Astyanax mexicanus: one gene and its partners. The protein of the gene in region 1 purifies or fractionates together with the protein of each later gene. This does not show direct contact. Links are inferred from orthologs where the notes say so. Each region holds a gene or a part of one and is shown on either strand. Other genes may lie near its edges.

Evidence for each region.
Region 2: the proteins of fosab (region 1) and stk40 purify together in Homo sapiens (affinity purification with mass spectrometry; 3 studies listed by BioGRID and IntAct, counting the BioPlex papers as one, with this or other methods). This does not show direct contact. The link is inferred for Astyanax mexicanus from reciprocal best matches to the Homo sapiens genes FOS and STK40.
Region 3: the proteins of fosab (region 1) and cop1 purify together in Homo sapiens (affinity purification with mass spectrometry; 4 studies listed by BioGRID and IntAct, counting the BioPlex papers as one, with this or other methods). This does not show direct contact. The link is inferred for Astyanax mexicanus from reciprocal best matches to the Homo sapiens genes FOS and COP1.

What each region holds. Positions count from the first base shown.
Region 1 is NC_064408.1:39,843,719-39,851,408, forward strand, and holds fosab (v-fos FBJ murine osteosarcoma viral oncogene homolog Ab), read left to right. Parts: upstream 1-4,657; 5' UTR 4,658-4,825; coding exon 4,826-4,930; intron 4,931-5,119; coding exon 5,120-5,356; intron 5,357-5,694; coding exon 5,695-5,802; intron 5,803-5,926; coding exon 5,927-6,556; 3' UTR 6,557-7,194; downstream 7,195-7,690. UniProt on the Homo sapiens protein: Nuclear phosphoprotein which forms a tight but non-covalently linked complex with the JUN/AP-1 transcription factor. In the heterodimer, FOS and JUN/AP-1 basic regions each seems to interact with symmetrical DNA half sites.
Region 2 is NC_064413.1:33,630,235-33,637,985, forward strand, and holds the start of stk40 (serine/threonine-protein kinase 40), read right to left. Parts: upstream 3,055-7,751; 5' UTR 2,826-3,054; intron 1-2,825. UniProt on the Homo sapiens protein: May be a negative regulator of NF-kappa-B and p53-mediated gene transcription.
Region 3 is NC_064415.1:58,593,224-58,601,186, forward strand, and holds the start of cop1 (E3 ubiquitin-protein ligase COP1), read right to left. Parts: upstream 3,004-7,963; 5' UTR 2,663-3,003; coding exon 2,358-2,662; intron 694-2,357; coding exon 634-693; intron 540-633; coding exon 442-539; intron 286-441; coding exon 221-285; intron 1-220. UniProt on the Homo sapiens protein: E3 ubiquitin-protein ligase that mediates ubiquitination and subsequent proteasomal degradation of target proteins.

The DNA of each region.
Region 1 (7,690 bases):
GTGCTTTTTGTTCAGCGCACGTCGGTGGCTAAAACCAAAGCTAGGTCGTCATTGTGCGCGTGCTGCTGTTTGTACCTTTATTGCATTGCTCAGTGCGGGTAACCACTGTGAAAAACAACGTCTAACAGCTGCGTTTTCAGAACTTATAGGCTGACAAAGAGTCTGTGCAAGAAACCTATACGTGTTCCCAGCTTGCACACAACCGACCTTCAACGTTGAAATATTTAACGTTGAAGTAATGTCTGTTGTTGTTTCAACGTTGAAACAACAATTAATGTTAAATGGTTGTGCAACAATAACATTTCAACAAAATCAACATAATGTCCTCAACCTTCTGCCTTTTGAATTAGCTTTTTACATTTCAAAAAACGGTTGGATGGAGGGATGAAAAAGTGTTTTTATTCCTTTTGCAGTAATTGTTTTTTATTTTATTTTGCACCGTTTTACACCATAACTGGGGGTATGTGCATGTTGTATTTGTTTTACTGTTGTGTTATGTTCTAGTTTTAGTGGGCTATGGTTTATTTAAGGTTAAACGTACAATTTTGAAACAACGTTACCTTATCAAAGTTGATTCACTTTTCAAAATCAACACCAAATCCAACGTTGATTCAATGTTAAAGTGCCAGCTGGGTTGTGCTGTGATGTCTTGTCAAATCGTGCTAGCAGTACATATTGGTAAAGCTGTCTAAATGAATAAAACAGAATGCATGCTATTTCGACTGCCTAAAAGCCATGTTGGCTATATTAAAACATGCTCCAGGCAAAAGTCTAGAGAAGGTATTTCAATAGCATAAATTACTGTAGCGTTATTAGGGTGAAAATAATATCTGAGAGAACAATACTTTTTTGTTTTGAATTGCCATTTGCACAATTTTAACACTCAGGTAAATAATAACACTCACGCTCAGTTGTTATAATGCACCAGAGAAAATTAAGAGAATTATAATGAAAAACAAATGAAAACGTATTTAAAAGGAACCGAGGAGCTGAGGAATAGCGCACGCGCAGTGTTGGCAATCAGCGCATATCGATAGGTAGGTATCACATCTCGACAGAACACCTCACGGCGTTCACACCTTTGCCATCTCGCAGAGGCTCGAGCTGCAGTGTGTTTAACAGTGTTTTACAGCTGCCTGTCTAATTCACGGCGAGCGAACAACCGTCACTAAAACAGAACCGAATAAATACACACGATATATGGTTCACTGTCTCCTCAAATTCACCTCAGCCGTGGACGCGCTTCTATTTCTGCAGCATTTCTGTATTTTTATCTACACATTTTCTAATTCGCTGAATGACGAACGATCCCACACACAAAGGGCCGCTGCAGCATCGAGACGTATTTTGTCGCCAACGAGGGCAGCGACCAATCAGAGGACGCGGATTTCTCTCCAGCGATGAAAGCAACCAATCAGAACGCGACGTCCATCTCGTCCCTGAGCGTCGGGAAGCCAATCAGAGCGCCCATATCCATAAATGGAGTTTCCGGAGCGCCGCTGCTGCAACAGCAGCAGTGCCTATTTTTGTCTCATATGGGACTTAATTAAATGGCATTGAAGTGACGAAATCAACACCAAATATCCAAATTTATTAAATTTACTTTTTGTTGCATAATACCTTCTACTATCTACGCTCATAATACGAATTTCTGATGTAATAAAACATTTCTACGCAGTGCTAGGCTATTTTTTGATCCTTTGCAGCGCCCACTCTCTCCCCTCACTCTTGTTTCCCACGTTGGGGGGTCGTCTGGTGAGAGGGGCTCTATATTTAGACAAAATGAGATGAGGTAACCCCGGCCTCCCTCTGGAATGTGTGTGTGAGAGAGGGAGAGCGAGAGAGTGAAAGAGAGAGTGTGTGCTGTTTCCCGGCAGGCCCACGCCCCTGCAGGCCAGCTTTCCGGCAGCCGGTCAGACTTCAGCCTTAGTGCAGGACAGCGCCTGTGTCGGTCAGCCTGTCCGGTCTTGCTACCGGGAAATGGGTCAGGTTTTTGCTAGACCTCTATTAATGCAAAGTTAATCTGCCTCTATGCACACGTTTGCTCTCAAAATAACTTTTAAGCACTTCTGTTCTAAAAGGAACCCCAACCAGTCCCCGGACAAAAAAACATAATTATTATAAGAAAAGTACCAATAAAGCAAAAATATATAGATTTGGATTTTATTGATGTAATTAGCAGCAATATCCTATGAAGGGTGAATTAAAGAACTGATATGCACTCACACACCCAATATCTGCACTACTGCTTATACGTGCACTGTCATATCCAACTGTGACATTTAAATAACTGTATGCACTCGTTCACTTTACCAGCCTTAAGCATTTCTATCACTATATTGCACTACTGTTTATACAGATTCTGTTTACAACGGCATTGTCATTCCCTCTTAATCCCCACTTTAATCACTATTTATCTATTGTCTTTGTCTATTATCTCTTGTCTCACGTATGTCTATATCTGTGACCTTGTTGTTTTGTACATTTAAACAATGTATTCTATTATATTTATATTTTATTTTTTTCTTGTTATTGCTGTAACTTTGGGAAGGAAAGTAATTTGGGTCCTCGGTATGTCCTGTACTTATGCAGTATTGGCAATAAAATTACTTAACTTGCGTTTATTTTATTGCATGAATTATTAAAAATTACATTTTTGTTTAGCTATATTGTTCCATTAATGGCAAGAAAAAAACGGTCCCAATCACTCTTCAGTCACTTCAGATTAAAACTGCTTCTCTTCCATGTAATCACCATTTTAGAGCGGTGAGTGAAAAACAGTCCCAGACTAAGAGTTTAAAAAGTCCAGAGCTGTGTCTCTGGAGCTTGTAGGTTTTTCATGGACACAGAGGTCCAGAAATAGAATAAAACAAACCAAAACAAGTGAAGTGTAAAGTTTTGCTTCGCCAGTTTGTTCCAGTTCCAGCTCTACCGCGTCACTGACGCCAATGGGAGGGGCGTTGCCTCGACAACGCGGAATAGGAGGGGCGTCGCCCAGGCCTCTCGAATGGGAGGGTTGTTGCCGGGCAACGATGAACAGTAAACACAACACGATCCAAGCAGCGCTGTTAATAAATAACAAAAATCCGCTTCAGTTCACTTTTCTTCACCCACAGATCAATCACAGAAAATGGAAAACAACTGTACACATGTTACCAGACACAGCCAATAGTTTTCACATTTATGCGGGGGAAAAAGTTAAAATATAAAGAAAAGGGCTTTAACTTCCTCTGCTTTTAATATTGCATCATTCAATCGAATATGGATATTGTTTATTTTTTAGTTTGTTTATTTGCGTGTTTGTCTGTGTTTTAGTTTTCTTTGACCTAGTTTTATAACGTCAGTCAGTTGAGCGTGCAGGACATGCACGCAGGTGACCTTGGACACACCAGCACATTCCTCACAGGTACAAACCCCACCCCTACCAATCACCTATCACCTACATCTGTCAGAAACATGAGAGGAATCCTTTCTCTCTCTTACTCCCTCTGTCTGTCTGTCTCTCTCTCTCTCTCTCTCTCTCTCTCTCTCTCTCTCTCTCTCTCTCTCACACACACACACACACACAAATTCAAATAATTAAAAAGTTCTGGAGAAGAATTATCCATTAACATTTTCAGACCTTAAGTATCTCCAGTGATGAAAAAAATGTAAGAATGCTCTTTTCTGTCTGTAATGCACAGAAAAAAAGACTCTAACAGTGTGCTATAAAATCTATATGGCAAATAAATCCAATTAACAAAAATATAGATTTTTATTTATATTGCATTGGAAGCCTGTGTGAAATATTTTATATTTTCTTTTTTATTTCCTTTGTATTTCATAAACCATCTCTAAACAGTAAAAAACATGATTTAAAAAATAGTTGTTTCTTTGCCTTAATGGCTCTAGTACTACTGCTTTTACAGTGGATAAGACCAAGCTACCTTTTCATTGGTTTATAGACACGTTCATTGGCCATTCATGGTTCGTGGTCTGTTTTGACGAACAACAGCTCTCAAATATTGTGCAACAAAACATTTAAAAATAAAGAAAATAAATTATGTTCATTGTAATGGATGCAGGGTTTGAAAGGGTTAAATAAAATGCTACATTTGTTTTTCAAACTCAGGTTTCAATTAAACAAAACACATATTTTCAAATAAACAAAATAAAATAAATATATATTTTTACTGCAATGTTGTAATTCTTTATATTATATAATTTATAAAATTCTAGCCATACGCTCTAAATAATGCACAGCAGTGAGATCCCCTTTTGTCCTCGCAAACACTGCGCTCTCAACGTTCACCAAGAAACTTCACCCCGCTCTGTTTACGTAACATCGCGCTCTGTCCGCACAGAGTGTTTCCCAGCAGCGCTCCGCCCTCACAGGATGCTTCCCTTATAAGGACAATGACGTCTTGGGATACCCTGCTATGGAACGTCACACGTTCACAGCAACCGTTAAAAACAGTGAAAAAACACGGGGTTATTTCACTATTACACAAAGCGCGCGGCGGTATTGGGACTGTACGGACGCGAAGGCTATAAAAAACATCGTTTTTTATTTTTGCGCGGTTTGCTTTTCCCGTGTTTGAGTGCATCTGTGCGCTCGAATGTTCCGAGATAGCGCCGCCCCTCCGACGTGCGTCACGCGCGAGCACAGTATAAAAAGGGAACTGCTCTCCAGTCTCAGCACTCAAACTTTGGACTATATCGGAAGAACAGCGAACTGAGTGGAGATTTAAGCCGCTAGAACTCAGTCTATTCCCCTCAGGAACTCTTCATATCGCGACTTTTGGATCTTTTGGACGCGTTCCGAGTGGGTCAGCGGTATAAAAGGATGATGTTTACCACTCTTGAGCACGACTCGTCCCGCTGCAGCAGCGCCTCTCCCAGCGCGGGGAGCTACGGGTCTCCGGCTGGAGTTTACAGCTCACACAGCCAGGTATGTAGTAGAGCTACCACCTCCAACTCTAGGCATGATGGGATTTTATCTGTTTTTATATTTATACGTCAGAGATTTATAATACATTTATAAGAAAATGTAAGAACTTTGTGTTTTTTTACTGCTTTTTTAGTTTTTTTTTTCCTGATTAAGAAGAGTATTAAATTAGTTTCTCTCTTGGTGTTTCAGGATTTCACTGACCTGGCCGACTCACCATCTCCCTTCGTGCCCACGGTCACGGCCATCTCCTCCTGCCCTGACCTACAGTGGATGGTCCAGTCAGTGGTGTCCTCAGTGGCACCCTCCACCGGCAGAGCTCACCCTTACAGCCCAAACAGCACCAACACCTCCTTCTCCAGAGCCAAGATGATCAAATCGGTTGGAAATGGTGCTCAGAGCTCCAGCAGGAGGGGCAGAATTGAGCAGGTGTGTGTCTTTTGGTTATAACACGGTCTTAATATACAAGGGGGAACTACGTGAAAATTTCTTTACTGCATCAAAAGTTATTGTGGTGTAAAAGAGGTGTGTTTGGTCTTCATGGTAGTATTGTTTGCCATATATACAATCCCTATATAGCCATCATATAAACACAAACACTTGAAATCTGTGCATTTTGTGCCAAATCTTAACATCTTTTACATCTCAATGACTTTAATAATCAATTAAAGTTGTACTTCCCCTAAAATTCCTATTGTCCTCATTTTGTTCTTATCCCTAATCTGTTGAATTGGAAACTAATCAATTTCCTCCCTTTTTTTATTCAGCTTGCTCCAGAAGAAGAAGAAAAAAGGCGTCTTCGCCGTGAGCGGAACAAGATGGCTGCAGCCAAATGCCGCAACAGAAGACGTGAACTCACTGACACCCTCCAAGCTGTAAGTATTCCTGTCTCCTCTGGTCTGAACTTTATTATTTTGACAATATAACTCTATTATCTACAGGAAGCCAAACAACAATGGCAGTTAAATTAACATTCTGCTTGCTGTCTTGTTTTACCAGGAAACTGACCAGCTTGAGGACGAGAAGTCTACTCTGCAGAATGATATCGCCAACCTGTTGAAGGAAAAGGAGCGGCTCGAGTTCATCCTGGCCGCTCACAGGCCCATCTGTAAGATCCCAACTGAGATGGACACGGCCTTTCCCGAGCCTTCCATCTCCCCAGCTCAGCCTGTCTCTGAGATCCCTCCCGTCACCGCTTCCTCTGTTACTTCCAGGCTGACCGAGACGATGTCCTCAGCTTCCTCTTCAGTGTTCTCTAACCCTTCCACTGACCTCATGACCTCCACAGTGAAGATCTCTGACCTTGACCCATCCCTGGAGGCGTCCTTGGAGTTTCTGGCCAAGTCTGAGCTGGATACGGTGCGCTCTGTGCCTGATGTTGACCTGTCAAGCTCCCTGTACGCTCAAGACTGGGAACCCTTGTACACGTCGGCCAACCTGGACCTGGAGCCTCTGTGCACGCCAGTGGTCACCTGCACACCCGCCTGCACCACCTACACGTCTTCCTTCGTCTTCTCGTATCCAGAGAGCGAGGTCTTCCCCGTCTGTGGCCAGCTGACCCGCCGGGCCAGCAGTGGCAATGATCAGTCGTCCGATTCCCTCAACTCTCCAACCCTTCTTACTTTATGAACTCATAAACAGCAGGGGTGTAAATTGATATCAACAATATGATCGCGATTCAGGCATCCAACTTTAGATTTGGTTTTAGTTCATCCTGACTAAAAGAACGACAACAAACCCTCAATATATACACTCTCTCATATTGTAGTTGAATCGCAGCCTTCTGTACTTTCATTTACACCCCTGTCCAAAAACAGACCTCATTAAAAACACTTACAGACTCTTTAACTGTTCAGGGCTACACAACTGACTCCACTAAGCAAATGTTTCTTTATGTATTTATTTATTTGAAGCATTTCTTGCCTCTTGCATATGTAGCAAGTTTAAGCATGGTTGAATACTTTGGTGTGTATTAACTAGTTATGTTACATTATGCAGATAATACAATGTAGAAAATAGGTTTTTAATTTTACTGGTGCTAGATAACTGTAATGTGGTCTGAGCAATACAGAACTGACTTTGTTTTCCACATTGTGTGAACTGTTCTTCACTAAACTGTTGTGCTTGGTTTATTTAACCATTATAAATGAAATGGTCTGAAGTTTTCTGTGAAAACGTTGTATTTATGGATTTGTATTTTTGTACCGAAATGTGAAAATGCAACCTGAACAGGGTTTGCAAACCTAGAAATAAATATATTAAATGTATGTCTCTGTATACGGTCATGATTTACTTTCAACACGGGTGCTAACATGTGATTGATTATTATAGCACGTATACCTATAGTCACTAAAGTTGTACAGTAAGTTTGTCCTGATTGGGTCTTAATTGAAAACTTACATTTTAAGATTTGAGACTCAACTATTGCAAGACATGTGTTGGGCAGGACATTTTAAGCCAAACAGAACAGCTCACTTCCATTTTATTCTTACATATTCTGGCATATTATGTCATTTAAAAGGATAAAGCAAACATTGTATTTAATCAGATTCATCCAAAGTTATATTAATAAGTAATAAGGTCTTGATTAGACTGATGGTGAGACTTAAACATTTAACTAAAAGAATGGCAAACTGTTTTGACCATATCAGCATGAAGACTTCATATTAAGAGACTTTGTATTAACTTTGGTTAGCTTGACTATGAAAATCGCTTGAAAAACTAATTACAAATACAATTTTGAACAGATCATCAGTAAGTAAG
Region 2 (7,751 bases), on another chromosome or scaffold:
ACGCTGCAGCTGAACACACAGCGAGTCTGGAGGGAGTAGGAGTTCATTTGGCTGCAGCCGTACATAAATTCTCACTTTCGACAGGGATTCTTTTTCTCCTCCAGCTCCAGACTGCCGACAATGTGACAGACATGATGACAGACATGATCACATGGTCATTACCCTTTGAGATATTAACAGATTTTTGCGTGACAGCTTTGCCCAGTGACACCATGCCCATGCTTTATCTAGCAAGATTTCAGCCACTATTGTTGTCCGCTCCTAAATGAAACCATGTGTTTACATCAAGCACAAAAAGAAATGAAGGGGAATTATAGAAGGCAGGCTGCATGTTGCACAAGCATTCAAAACCAGGATATATAAATCAGAGTCCAATCTGAGGACACTTCATGTGAAGAGTTAACCAACCACTGTATGATGTTTACCTCCGTTAAAAGAATGACATGCAGAAAAACAAACTTGTACAAATAATTAACAAGTAGTGCGGCCACTTCTGAAGCCTGCTGCTCCAACTGTTGATTTTTTTTTGTGTCAGACTACTATAGATATAAAATCTGTCCCTCTCTTGTGGGGATACAAATCCATTACATGTTTGCCATTTTAGCCTTATAGCCTCAGTGCAAATGTATTCAAGCAATGTTTGCAGTAAGAGACAGTATTGTAAGAATGAAATAAACAGTATAAATACAAAAACAAAAAAGGTACAACAATTGTCTTCTCAAGACTTCAGACAATGGATGGTATGGTTGCTTATTTAGTCTGTAGAGGGTGAAAGGCTGTGCAGATTGCATAACAATCAGGTACAACTAACTAGCTTTATTAAAGACATTTCACGGTCATTTCTATTATGCTTGTATGCTTGCATGAGTGTTTAATCGTGTGCTACACTGTGTAGCAAGTTGGCTGTTGTGGTGTTATGATGTAATTCATCTGAGTGTAATGCGCTTTGGCTCATTAATGGCCGTGTCACTACCGAGGCAGCTAAATTTAGAGTCAGGCACACGTTTTCACAGCGTGTGGCAATCAATGCTAGTTAACACTTGCATGTAAAGCAGTTTTCTTACCAAACACTAACAGAGTTAGTTAAATTCCAACTAGGCCAACAGGGACAAGTGTAGCTAGACTAGTTAACCAGCTAACTAACTATCTGGCTAACGTTTAAAGCTACCGGTCTTCTGCAGGCAAGCGTCAGCTTGCAGGTCGCTGGTCATTATGTTGTCAGGTTAAAGTTAACCACAAGTTTAGCTAACGCTAACTCAGTTTCCACTAGTAGCATGTTTAAGATATCAGCTCCCTCCACAGCAATTATATTTACTCGCAAAAAAAACAGATCTATTAACTTAACTTACATATAACGTTAATGTTGTTTTGACTGGTCCTATGTTGCTATTGATTTATAAAGAAATTCAGACCCTCTAATCCGTAGATAATTAAGCTACATTTCAAAAGTACAAAACATTAATAACAGTTTTTCACAACAAAAAATGTAGTTGCAAATATTTAGACAAGGAACTAACCTAGCTAGCTAGCTAGATTTTACAGTAAGGATATGGTGACCAGGTAGCTTAGATTGTTTAGTCAGAATGACTTTAAACGATCTGTAGTTGGATCTGGTATTATTCCTAGCAAAAAAATGTCGCTCACCCTACAGCGATACATACTTTTAAAACTGCATTAGAGACCCGCACGTTATTGCAATATTTAGCTAACGTAACTGGTTAAACTGAGACAGGACTTGGTTTGCTCGCATCATTAAGGATCAAATGATGCTAACGCTAGCTTGCTGCTACAGTGTTAAGTGTTAACGGTAAATAGCTAGCTAGAGTTGTAGATAGGTTAGCTTAGCTAGCTAACACATCAGTCACAGGAGGAATGAGATCTCTGCTCCGCGCTGGGTGTTTGTATACAGATCATAGTATAGCTAACTTACAATCCAGCTTGAATAAACAGGCCAGTGTTTACTAGTTAGCTAACGTTAGCTCTGCAGCTAACGTTAGGTTAGTTTAACACTGGACGTAAAATGTCAGTTTTACGTTAGTGAAGTAGCTTAGCTAGCGTTTACTGCCGCTCCGCCTCTAGAACAAACTAGACCGGTGTTGTGTCGAATTGTGCTACCTTCTTCAACTGTGCTACCCTGGTAGTATTTAATTTATATAAAACGGTAAAAGTACCAAGAAAAAGCACCTTATTGGAAAATACTAGGTAGGATATGTGAATAGGCTAAATCACTGTCAAGTACCTTAAAGTAAAAAAATAAAAAAAATAAAATAAAATCACATACTTGATTAGAAACCGTATTTTTTATAGTTATAGTTTTTTGTAGTTAATTATTATTTTTAACTGCTTTACATTGTTTTAACATCTGAGCAGGTTGTTTAATGCTCTCAATAAAAACTCACGGAATGATCATGAAAAACAAACAGTACAAAAAAAGGTTGGTTAGCGCATGAGCAGTGCTGTAAAGAAGTACATATGAATGAGTAGCATAACTCGACAGAACACCGGGTTGTTTTGAGCACTGAGCTACTAGGCTAGCTAAGGTAGCTAGAATAACTAAGGGGTTAGCTGCCTCGTTTGCAGCCGACACTTTATTCTGTCTTTTTTTCCAGCTGAACTTGTAAGGGTCGAGCTCCTCTCGGTTTTCAACATTATAACTTACTACAATAATTAAGTTTTTCCTGCAGAGTGAAACATGCGGCAAAAGCTATGAAGGCAGTAAGCCGGTTTCTGCAGCTCCAGTTCAGCTGGGTTATGGCTTGGTTTGGTTTGCTCAGCTCGCCGCCTCTCGACGGACTGACGGGCCATTTAACAACTCACTCACTCACCTCGAGATCAAATCGCCGGGGGGGAGGGATCCTCTGCCGTCTACTAAACCGCAGCCGCCATCTCAGCTCAGGACTCAGGAGAGGCGCAGGAACAGTCGGCTCGCTGCCGCGCAGCGCTGTGTGGGAGAAAGGACGGTTTTATTCCGCTGTTAGAGAAGCGAAGCGTCGCCGCGCTGAAAAGCCTCGTCCCGTCGGACTGATCACATCTTTCCATAGCAGCACCACCTGACAACGGAAATGACGCACGAACAGTAAGGGGCAGCCCGACTAACCCAATCAGAGGCGAGTACCCTCCTCTCCCGACCGGCTCAGCCAATAAGTCTAACTCGTTTTCGGGCCTTTTGTCTTTAACTGGAAATAAGACAACAGAATAATGAATACACTGAGTGATTTATGATTTGATTATTGCTCAGTTTTTCTTTACCAATATCGATGATTTATTAATATATGTATACAGCACTGAGCCATATCATAGGTGTCTTCTGAAAAAGGGAATACAAGTTAGAATGAGTTTAAGAAGTTAATATTATTTAATCACTAAGTGATGTCTATATGTATGTCCATATGTGGACACTTCTTCTAATAAATGATGCATCCAGCTACTGTAAGCAAAGTTTTACCCTTTGCTGACACAGATGGGCAAATACACACACACACACACATGCACACAGCTTGTCCAGCCCTTGTAGAGAAGATGTTTACTGCTAAACATGTAAAGATGGACATGAACCTATTGGCACCATGTATAATGGTATGGGCTAGCTGTGGAGCTGTGGTGTGTTATCTGGAATGGTGGTGCTCCATCAGTTAAAGATAAGTTGAGGTGGTGACCTTCTAACATCCTGACAGTAACATGCTTGTTGCTGAATGTAATCAAATCATTATAGCAAATAATCATCAAATACAAAAGCAAGTAGAAAGTCTTTCCTGGACTGCAGACAACAGAATAATACCCTTTTAATACTATTGAATTTAAAAGAAACAATGAATAGACATTTGTCCCAATAAGTCTGTCCATATAGTTTAATTTAAACTTCTCAAATGTCTGTACTAGTGCATTGTACACCATAAATCAATAAATAATTCTTACATTGTTTTGCTGCCTTCATCTGGAATAATGTGTTTTTATAAATGCAATGATACAAAATTATGACAGGTACCACACATGCAAAAAAATCAGGTTACACAAGCATTAGAGAAAGCTATTCAGTGCTTTCTCTAATTAATCAAATATTGCTACTACTACATTTATTCTATGTGCAAGACCCTTCAGATAGTTCAACAGTTCCTCAACTGAACCCCACCCATGCTGCTTGTTCTAATTCAGAGCACTGGACTAGTAAGCAGTAGCTTGTCAAATACATGTCGTTCTTTTAAAGGGTCATAACTCTTTTTGATTGCTTTGACTCAGCACAGCATTTGCTTTTAGCCACATGAAACATTTTTATCAGCCTGTGGCTTAGGTTTGGCCAACCCACAGTTTTCAGGGTGGAAACTGACTGAATCATACTGTGAGAGTGGGCGACCCATGGGTAATGTAAGGAGAGACAGAAAAGTATAAAAAGAATGCATAACAGGAAAAGGGTACAGTGTTGCATACATCCTTTACATACATTTACTTCATTATTTGACCCTTTCAGACAAAAACATATTTCAATCATTTCCCACAAACTATTTAAGTTAAGTGCATTTATGCATGAAGAAATATGTATATATAAAGCACAACAGAGCACTAAAAGAGCTCATGGTGACATGCATATGTCACAGACCTTTACAAAAAGCTGTGAAAGTTCATTACAGCAGTCTGTCCTTGATTTTATAAACTTATGAAGACCTAAGTGACATATACTGAACATCCTGTGTGCATTAGGACAGTGTGTCACTGTGCTTATCTGACCTTATTTACAGAATGTAGGTGTGCTAGGTTAGTGCTGGAGATTAGATTTCACGTAATATTTTTTGCTTCTTTAGGTCTGTTCCAACCCATTTTACAATACAAATGTTTTAAATGTTTTACATGCAAACTAGTTGTGACACAAACTCTAGAACAGAATGTCAAACAAATACACGTTATGAAATTGTATAATTTCTGTTACATTAGTGTTTAAAGATTAAAATATTTAGAGTCATGTTCTCTCTTTATACAAAAAGAAAACACATGAGTGAGCTTCTCAGTTAATTTACCAATGATCCAATTTTGAACTGGATAAGGACCCTAATGGGTTAAGAAAAAAAAAACTGATTTCTCCCAAAGGGAGTTTTTATGTGAAAAATGATTAAAAAAGTCATTTTAATTAAATAATAAATTGTATCAGAATTCAAATGATCAGTGTTTAAAATGATGCAGCACAGAAACAGTGCTGTACAGCAGTGTAAAGAGAAGCACTGTGGGCTGAGGTAAGTGTGTCTAGTCCTACCACCTATTGCCTCAGCATGTTTTGACAGCTCTTTTTTCACATGGCTATTATGAGAGTGCGTGACTGGAAGCCGTGATGTGGGGGTCTAAAACGTGCCTGGACTGTTCTCATTTTTCTCTGACGCCACAGCATAGTTACTGTCACCATGGTGATTCGAATTGTTACTCTGTCCTCCATTGAAAGTGTTCGCAGATAAACTGAAAGGCAATACTGGACAACTGAGGCTAACAGAAACAAAGAAATGCAGAAGGCAGCATCATCACTTCATTGCACATGTCATGGCGAGGACTCATCAATAATGCTGTTACACAGACCCACAAAAAACACACACAAACATACTGTTTATTCACGTGTGTGCATACAGAGTCCTGTGAGTAAATGAGAGACAGTGGGCAGTAGCACATGATGAATAGCCTGAGTGGTCAGTTTTAACTGCAACTGAAGGATTCTAAACTGTCTGCAACACCATATACTCCATTATAAGGTGACAGAATGATCATAAAGGAATGCATTAGGTAGTCGTATAGTTTTTGGATCATCTTGCCAGTTGGGTCAAAATTGATTAGAAGAGTTGCAAACCTTTTAATGTAAACCCTTGTTAATGTCACGTTTACACTCTACGTTCAATTAAAGATGCTGCATAAAATATTAATCCAGTAAACCTTAATTGTAAAATTAAGCAAATGTTACCATGCAGATAGCTAGCTCCCCAGTCTGTTAACTCGCTGGAAAAGAACTGTGTTCATACACAACTCTAGGATACAAACATAATGGCTCAGACTGAGCTACACAACACTAATCAGATGAAGATATATATAGAGACCTCAATGTGTAGAAAGGCATGACAAGGAATGCGGAACTTGCTCTATTCTCTCTTGATACTTACTTATGTTTGCTATTCCAAAGAAATAGTTTTGTTTTGTTCAGTTTGCAAATGTTGGTGATAAATTATAACAACTAACAGCAGCAACTGTAACAACAGCTAACTAATCCACAACATGCAAGAATTTAAAAATGTAGAGCTTCTGAAGGAGCACTGAGAGGGTGTGTTTGTCATGCTAATGAGTTTAAATATCAACAAGTTGTTCTCCAGAATCATAAACAGCACATTTAAAATAAAATACACTGAAATAGGCAGGGAAGTGTGCCTCCATGACAAGGATTGTGAAACACTGCATTGCATAACCTTATCTTTATAAAGCATATTAAGAATATAATGCTCAATTTGATGTTCCATCAAAAAGTCTTAATAACCTGTCATATTATACTCTAGTTCAGAACAGACGATGCAATCTGCTTCTGCAACAGTGCACACGAATCATTGGCTAACCACTCAGGCTAGTCATCATGTCCTACTGCCCACTGTCTCTCATTCACCCACGCTGCTCAGACAGTTGGTCTTTTGATGGCTTTTCTAATAAGCAATTCTAAAAAACCCTTTATTCATCTGTAAAGTCGTGGGAGAGGTATCCTTCTCCTACACATAAATGAATGAATTGCACTTACATTCATTCCCTTGTGGGAAAGCATGCTCACTTGCCACTCATTTTTTGCACATGGCACATTATTGTTTATATTTTAAAATGTTAAATTCATTAAGAGTAATTATTTTTTTTAGAATAAGGAGATGTATCTTTGTAGATAGAACATACTTACACTCAGAAAATAAAATATTTTAACCAACAATGCCATTGGGTTAAACAAAATCAGTGGTATTAAAAGATTGCTTTAAGGATTTTATATCATTATATGATCATCACCTCACCTCACCCCCAACTCCACAACTAATCCCTAAAGTACTGGATGAAGCACCATAATTGCAGAGAACACAGTTTAACAGCTCCACAGTGCTGGGGGCTTCATTCACCTCCAGACCACACCTGGCCTTTGTTGCACACAGGGCTCATACTTTATTGGCCATACTTTTCTGCAGGGATTTGCCAAACTGTGCACATCATTAACAGCTGCAATGGATAATGCATTTAGTAGAACGATTATCCACAATCAATCAATATATATATATGGTTATATCTATATATGATCATATCATGTGATTATATTAATTATATTTATATATTTCTTTCTCCGATTTTTGCAGATCCCCTAGCGGCCCCTGGTGTTTGTTTACTAAACTGCAGGCAAAACCCACCTTAGGAATAGGTTGGATAAAACTTTAATTTGGGAGCGAGTTAAACTATTTAAAATACTTAACTTTTTATAAACGCCCAGCTCACAAAAATCTTTAGGACTAGTTAACTAAGTAAATTACGTTACCAAGCTTTTGGGAACTCTGACCTGTTGATATTGTAGTTTCTCCAGCCTGGTTACCTGGTGTATTGCAGCTTAGCAAATGCTATTCAAATTTACAGAGGCGCACAGAGATGTTCTGATAGTATGCTGTTTATATGCTCAATTTAACAGTCTGGGAAAATAAAACATAAAATGTGGCTTTCATGATGCTTTAGGCAGTTTTTGACAAATATGCTCTTACCTATTGTAGGAAAATGCC
Region 3 (7,963 bases), on another chromosome or scaffold:
GTGGTCAGAGTTTAAACAACAGCAAATGAACCCCTGTCAGACATCAGATGTCTTTTATTGTAAACTAATAGATAAAAGTCATTGAGGTATTGTAAAAGTAATTATCACAATAATCTAATATATCAAATTTCTTACACCCCTAGTAGAGACATTTTCCAGCTGAGAAATATGAAAGAATTTTTAAAGACAATACGTTTTTCTGAGCATGCTGTATACTTACAGGGTGGTCCCGTTTTAGCCGTTTCTCCTCACATCTCTGTTTCTGCTTGAGGATTAGCTCGTTCACTGCGACAAAGAAAATACAGTATAAAATATCTCTGACTCAGAGGTGCGGACCTTAACACTGTTTAATAATATAAAAAGAAAAAAAAAAGTGTGTACGCGCTTCAGAAAACCCTGCACAGATAAAGATAATCCGCATTTACTCTTTAAATCACTCACCTAAGAAGTTGGGGTAGAGTTGATCAACATTGTCTATAATGTAATTACATTTTGGGCACCTGTTGCTGTCCTCCAAACTCTGTCGTATACATTTATAACTAGAAAACAAAAATTAAAACAAGAATCAGCATCACAGGAAGCATTACGGCAGAAAAACGGATACACATGAGATAAAATTAAATGTTTTCTCACCAGAAACTGTGGCCACACTTAGTCATGTGAGCTTCCTCTATCATTTCGAAACATATGGGACTGAAAAACAAAAAATGAAAATCATTTTTAAAAAGGATTATTAAATACTCTGCATGTTTTTGTGCTTTTTAATTCACTTTTACTCCAATGTTCAATTCAATCCATCATACATTTTACTGTTTAGCTACTGGCATAATGTACATGATGTCCATTTCACAGACATGTGATTCGCTTTCTTGTAAGTCTGTTGCACAAACATATTTTTGACTTCTAATTTATCACAGTATTATTATTAATATAGTATTATTATTAAGTGTATTTGGACGTTGGAACTATAAGGTAGAAATATTAAAAATATCCTACATAATCAAAACAAATAAACCAAAACAACTGTTTTCGCTGTGGGAAATCGCAGAATCAGGACCTGAGGTTCTCTCTCTCTCTTTCCATTGGCAGTATATAGCCGCTGCTCCTGACTCCCAGTTGCTGACTGAGTCAGATATCTAGCATGCCAAACATTTGCCGGGTGAGATATAGTATGACTGACTTCTGAAGAAAGCTGGTAAAAGCCTTGTATTTTCTAATATCTCTAAATAAATGGCAGAAAACATAAAAATAACATATTTCAATGTAAGATTTTTCCACCAGTATTGTGCAGCTCCATGCTGTATGACCTAGTGAACTGATATCATTATTATTTTATTATATATTAGTCTAGCAACTAATAAGTTCAGTAATGACTGTCAGTCTGTGGCAGATGCTGTAAAATGTTGTAAAATACATATTTATATCAAAAATGATTTTGAAACCGTATCATCCTTACTGAAACATATTCATCACCACAATATATTAGGATATCGATTAATTACCCAGCTCTACCTGCTACTGTAAATAATGCAGCTGCAGGAACACCAATCTGGTAGCTTCGTTAGCTAAACTAACACATATAAACACATAAAACAACTTAAAACACCTACATGACAAACATACAAAACGACTGTAATTTGTTTTATCGACAAAAACCTTAGAAGAGTCGAGAAAACTCTTATTCTGAGAGCTAAAAGAGCTAACGAAGTAACTGTTAGCGTTTACTAGTTTTACAAGCTAACTAGCTAGCATTAACTTAGTTAGCTAGATTAGCTAACTATATTATTGCATGTTTTAGACAAACAGCAATAATTAACGTTATAAACACCGACACAAAACTAAACACAGCTACAAATAAAGATAAAGAAAGCATAGCGCAGAATTAGTTTAAGTTTGTTTTTGGAGAGAAAAGGGAACAGAGAAAAACGGTTACTAGCCTAACTTACGTTAGCGATAGCATTAGCTAGCTAATATCACAGGAACTGGCAATGCTAACCTAGCTAATCTAGCTAGCGTCAACTTAGTTAGCTAGGTTAGCTAACTTTAGTAATGCGTGTTTTAGACGTTATTAAAAATATATAAATGTAAATAAATGAGTTTAATAAATGCAGATAAATGTTAACGCAGAATTAGGTTAGCTAACTATTTTTGTGTCAAAGAAAGAAAAAAGGGAACAGAGAAAAGCGGTTAACGTTACTGGCATAACGTTAGCAATAGCATTAGCTAAACTAATATAGCTATGATATGCTACGATATTCTATGCTAAGCTAAGCTAACTGTAGGTAGTGGAGCGCTAATAGCGGCCCTTCAGCTTGGTTCTCCCCGTCGGTAAGCTGCAGTTTGTCGGCTCTACTCACCAAACGAAGTCGTTGCTCTTATCCTCATACGGATTAATAAGGCCGTTATACAGCGGCCGCTTCCTGCTGTAGCTCCCGCCGGAGGAGCCAGCTCTGCCGCTCTGGGTCCCCGTAAGCTGCTGCTCAGCTCCGGAGCCCAGTGTCCTGGAGGATCCTCCTCCGCCGCCGCTGCCGCCTCCCGTGTTGCTCCCGTTGGCCGTAACGCTGCTGCTGCTCCCGCTATTTGCGGTGTTCCCGCTCCCGGAGCTCGTACCGGGCACAGAGCCCACGCCGCCGCCCTGGTGCTGCTGCCGTCCGCTCGACATGGTTCCCTGGTGCCGCCTGTATGAACTCCCTCCCCGCAGGCCCGAAGCTTCACTGCATGCTAACCGGCCCAGCAAGCCCGGCGCTGCCGCCGCCGTTACCCCGCACACAGAGCCGCAGCAGCGGGGAAACAGTCGCGCTGTACCCCGCAGACACTCTCTCCGCTCACCGCTCTGCCTGGAGCAGCGCTGGGTTTAATATCAGCCACCAAAACACAGAATATCCTCACCGCGGAGCCTCCTGTTGACAATTCTCAAACGGGGGTTTGAACAGATTTCAGCCCGCTGCAGAAGAACAGCCGCCGCCAGGCAACACTCACACCGCGGCGGGCAGGAGAGCTCCACCGCCACCCTCTGTACCGGAGCGGGCCTGAGTCTGGGGTATTAATTATAGTTCATTATAGCAGGTCTGAGCTTTTTAACACCTCAAAACATGATTTCAGAATTATTTTGACTATTTTATGTATTTATATTGAAATATAACATTGAGATTGTCATATTAAAATAGTTTTAAAAAGACACAAAAGTAAAAAAAAAAAATCAAATATATATTTTTAATTATATACTCATAGCTCTGGAAAAAATACTCACTCACTTGTCACAAAATGAGGAGTTTCTTTGATTTTACCAAATTGAAAACCTCTATAATATAATCAAGAGGAAGATGGATGATCACAAACCATTAAACCAAGCTGAGCGGATTAAATTCTTAAACCACGAGTAAAGCAGCATACAGTTATCCAAAAGCAGTGTGTAAGACTGGTGGAGGAGAACATGATGCCAAGATGCATGAAATTAAACTGTGATTAAAAACTAGGGTTATTTCCCATTTTCTGCAAATAAATGCTCTAAATGAGAATATTTTTATTTGGAATTTGGGAGAAATGTTGTCTGTAGTTTATAGAATAAAACAAAAATGTACATTACTCAAATATAAACCTATAAATAGCAAAATCAGAGAAACGGATTTTGAAACTTAAGTGGTCTCTTATTTATTTTCCAGAGCTGTATATATACATACGTATATAAGCAAATCAGAACAAAAAGTAAAAATATATATATATTTATATTATATATTTATATGCTGTCCTGTATTGTAACAGCAGAGGGCAGAGTGACCTACGGAAAAGCTGAACTTGTTGCTGGTTTACTGCAGTGCGCGCTGGTGGCCAGCAGAGGGGGGTAAAACTGCTTTAATAAAATACTAAAAGTCTACAAATTAAAAGTAAAAGTACTTAATTAATTAAATGAATTAATTGAATAAAGTACTTACAGATATGCAATGCACGTTTTAATGCATCTCGTATCCATAAGAACAGAAGCCGAAGTTTGTTAGGACATATTATTGGCTGTTTTGGTGTGTTTTTGGTTTTAATGTCAAATATTAAAAAAAAAAAATAAACAGAAACTAATTTAAATAATGTGATAGGAAGTCTCTACTAATCTCTACTCCTCAATATCAATAACTATTTAGGTCTAATTAACCCTTAAAGGCACAGTGGTCACAAATGTATTCCTAAAATGTATTTTTTTTTTACCTTTTGTACCTTTTGGGTTGTTAAATGGTACAAATCTGTACTTCCTGCTGTAAGGAATGAAGTACTTATATTGTACCTTTGTGTTTTTTTTAGTGTGCAATTTGTCCAGATCAGCAAATCTGACAGTGTGAAATAAATAAATCCTCTAAAAGGGTTTATTTTAAATTGTATTAATTATTAATTAAAATGTATTAATATTTTTGGTCACTTTTTAAAGGAATCCACCCCTGTTTGTGTATATTGTGTAAAATATTGTGTATTTTCAGCTCGCTTGCTGCAGAATGAGGCGTTTATACCGTAGTTCAGCCCAGTGAAGCTGGAAAAAGTGTTCGTCCCCTTTGGGGAAAATTACTGAGCATCTTACAGAATACATTAGCCTGTCAGGAGACCACCACGGGAGAAGTCCTGGCCCGTATTTTACCCTGCAGCTGTCCTGTCTGCTTCTGAAGAGCCGTTCCTTCCCCTCACGCCCTCCGTCCGTAAACACTCCGGCGTGTGAACAAGTTCATCACCAGTCCAACTCCAACCAACTCCAACCATCACAGAGAGGATCCAGTCATTACTGAACAGAGATGAGTCAAAATAAACAGAAAAAACAAGAAAAAACTAGAGAAGAAGTGATGGAACTATTGTATATCAGCTTCTCTGCAAAAAAACTGATTAATATAGTACTTTAAAATAGCCTTTTTTACTAGATAGTGATGGTATGAATCACAGTGGAACCCTTTTTTGAGTTACAAATCAATCAATCAATCAATTATCCAATCAACCAACTAATTAATCAATCAATTAACCTTTATTGTCACTCGGTAATACATTGAGGGAATAATTTTCGATGCAGCCAAGCATTTACCTTCTAAAGAGACTGGGAAAAAAAATCAATTCAAATTAAAGTCAAGTATTTAATATATAATTATCAGGTTACGCTAAAATAAGGAACAAATAAACAATAAAAAAAACAACAAAAATTAAATGGCAAAAGCATTTAGCTGTGTTTTTGTTTGTCATTTATTTTATCATCATTTATGCTTTATATATTTAAATTATTTTATTGTAAAGCATTTTGTGGCTCTGTTATATAGTTCTGAAAAGTGCTGTATAAATAATTATTATACCACAGTTAGTAGTTCCGACCCTGCAATGTGATTGGCTGAGAGGCGTTCTATGAGTGCCGTTATCAGCCAGTAATGCACTGCTGTAACCGAAGCTCTCCATGTACGTATTACTCCGCCACATACAGGTAACCTACGATGCAACGATGCAGCGCTTACAAACCAAACAGCTCAGCTACAAACAAACAGAGCAGCAATGGAGCTATTTTAACTGGCAGAGTTTTTATTTTATAGCCAAACAGATCGTGCAGATTTTCTCCTCCTCTTTAACTCTTTAAAATATTTAAATAAACAGAGATAATAATGGAACTGTGTTATATTGCTGATCTACGATCGCACCAAAACAGTGCCAATATTACACGTTATAGCACGAACCTTGAGAGTATTTTTGCTTAAATATGACTTGCTTAATTTGCAAAATCTTAGTCTGTGAGTAAAAACTCTGTGTCTAGTATTTAGATGTGAGAGGTTGTCAGACTTTTAATCTGTTTAAAGTCCTTTTAAAGTCTTTTTCAGAGTCTTTTTAAAGTGGTGTAGAGTACGGACAGCGTAAGGCAGGTCTTTAGGGCTGGCGCACTTTCCGAAAAGATCAGCCCTCTCGGGAGGAACTGGAGTAGAGAGCCGTGGATGAGTTGTGTGGAGCAGAAGCCAGCCAGTTCAGTGTCTCAATTATAGATGAGAGCTGCACGTTTTGCCATTTCAAACATTTATATATCTTGTAGGGCTTCTGTTAGGACTCTGCTCAGAGATATAGACCTCTTTTAAAACGGAGCCAAGGTACTCAAAGAGCCTGATGGGTAAAGACAGCGAGAGGTGAGAGAGTGATGAATGGGGGTTTCCAGCTCCAGTAATAATATCAGTGATTCAGTAGCAAACAGGAGAGTTTAAGTGTAAGAAAAGCAGATTAAATCATGTTATTCAGTTCGATCTGAAACATTAAATTACATCATAAAGCTCAGCTCTGTGTGTTTCTATCTATCTGTCTGTTTTCTGCTCTGGATTGAGAGATTGAGTTTTGTATTGGTTTTATAATAAAGCTGCATGTACCAACAACCACCAGTAGAGGGCCTGGAGTCTGCAGTGGAAGAGCTGGTGGATCTGGGCCAAAATAACAAAAACAAAAAAACTACAAGTCCCAGAATCCCCAGCGATATTCAGCGCAAACTAGGATCAGCTGTGAAACACAGTATAAAAAACCCAGTCATAGCTCAGTTCTCTGTCGCACCTTTGTAGAGGGGTGATCAATAACAGTGGGTAACAGAGAAAAAAGAGAAAAGATAAAAAAAAGGATCTCGAAAGAAAGACAAAAACAAGAAAAAAGAAAGAAGCGAGATCTTAAAAGAAAGCAAACGAAAAAAATAGTCAGTAGAACATTTTCTAAATGTTACTATTAATGTTCTTAGTAAGTTCAAGTTCATCTGTTAAGTTTTCTTGATATCCTTATAATGTTATGCAACATTTCTTTTAACATTTTCCCAACGTCGCTACAATATCACTTTTCAATTTATACTGTATAGTGTATGTTTTAAAAATGTTAACTTTAACAACACAAATGACGTTGCAGCAATGCTACCAGAATGTTTAAGAATGGTACATAAAACATTCTAAGAACGTCCAGAAATGTTCTAAGACTGTTACTCTATGAACTGTAACTTTGTGTAAAAGTTGAACATTCTAGGAATGTTAATTTGTAACATTTAGAAAATGTTCAATAAAACATTCTAAGAACATCGAGTAAAATTAAAAGATTGAATGTTCTAAGTCTCTGTTAACGTTGAATGTAACGTTTTGAAAACGTTTGACATAAAGATGGTTTGCACAATGTTATTAGAACGTCTCTCACATAGACGAATACAACCAAACTAAAAATGTAAACATTTATTAAGAATGTTTAAAAACATTGAATAAAATGTTCTGAGAACATTCAGAAAACACATTGACAGATTATTCTAAGAATGTTAATTGTAATGTTTCTACTAAAACCTTCTACTAACAAAACTACTAACTTTTTGAGGAAGCTGGGATTCAGCTTTGAGTTCTGTACGGATGGATGCTTTGATTTCTAAGTAGAGATGATTAGAGATGTATAAAAATGAACAGATTTATACTGTATATATATATATATATATAGAAACACACACTTCCCACATGACTCTCCGTCTCCAGGGTTCTGATTTCACACATCTGCTTCTGAAAGGATTTAGGACTTTCTGCTTCTTTTCTGCACTTTTCTACAGGTCCAGGACTTCAGGTTGGATTTTGTTCTTTTCCGCTGAATTCTCTGGTCACTTTTTTAAATTGGATTGGGGCTGGTCGGCCTCAGAGACGAAGGATAATCTCTTAGAGGTCCTTTACAGTGGGGGGTGAGGCCTAGGAGCTACCATTCACTTTTTTCTACCAAGTTGCAGCTGGATCTGAAAGCACTTTCATACAAAAAAAGCTGAATGTTGTGCGGGCGGATCCTTCAGGTCCTCGGGTTGGTTGCGGAATTCTTGCCTCCCACTGTTCAGAGCTCTTTCTCCCCTGATGAGGCCCCTGCCATAACCGCTCCGAGCCCGATTGCAAATTGACCCTGACAAAACCGGCTGGGGGCGAAGAACCTGCTGCAGTTTGGAAATTAAACAGCTGCGAGTGCGGCTCTCGGGTCCTTCCTG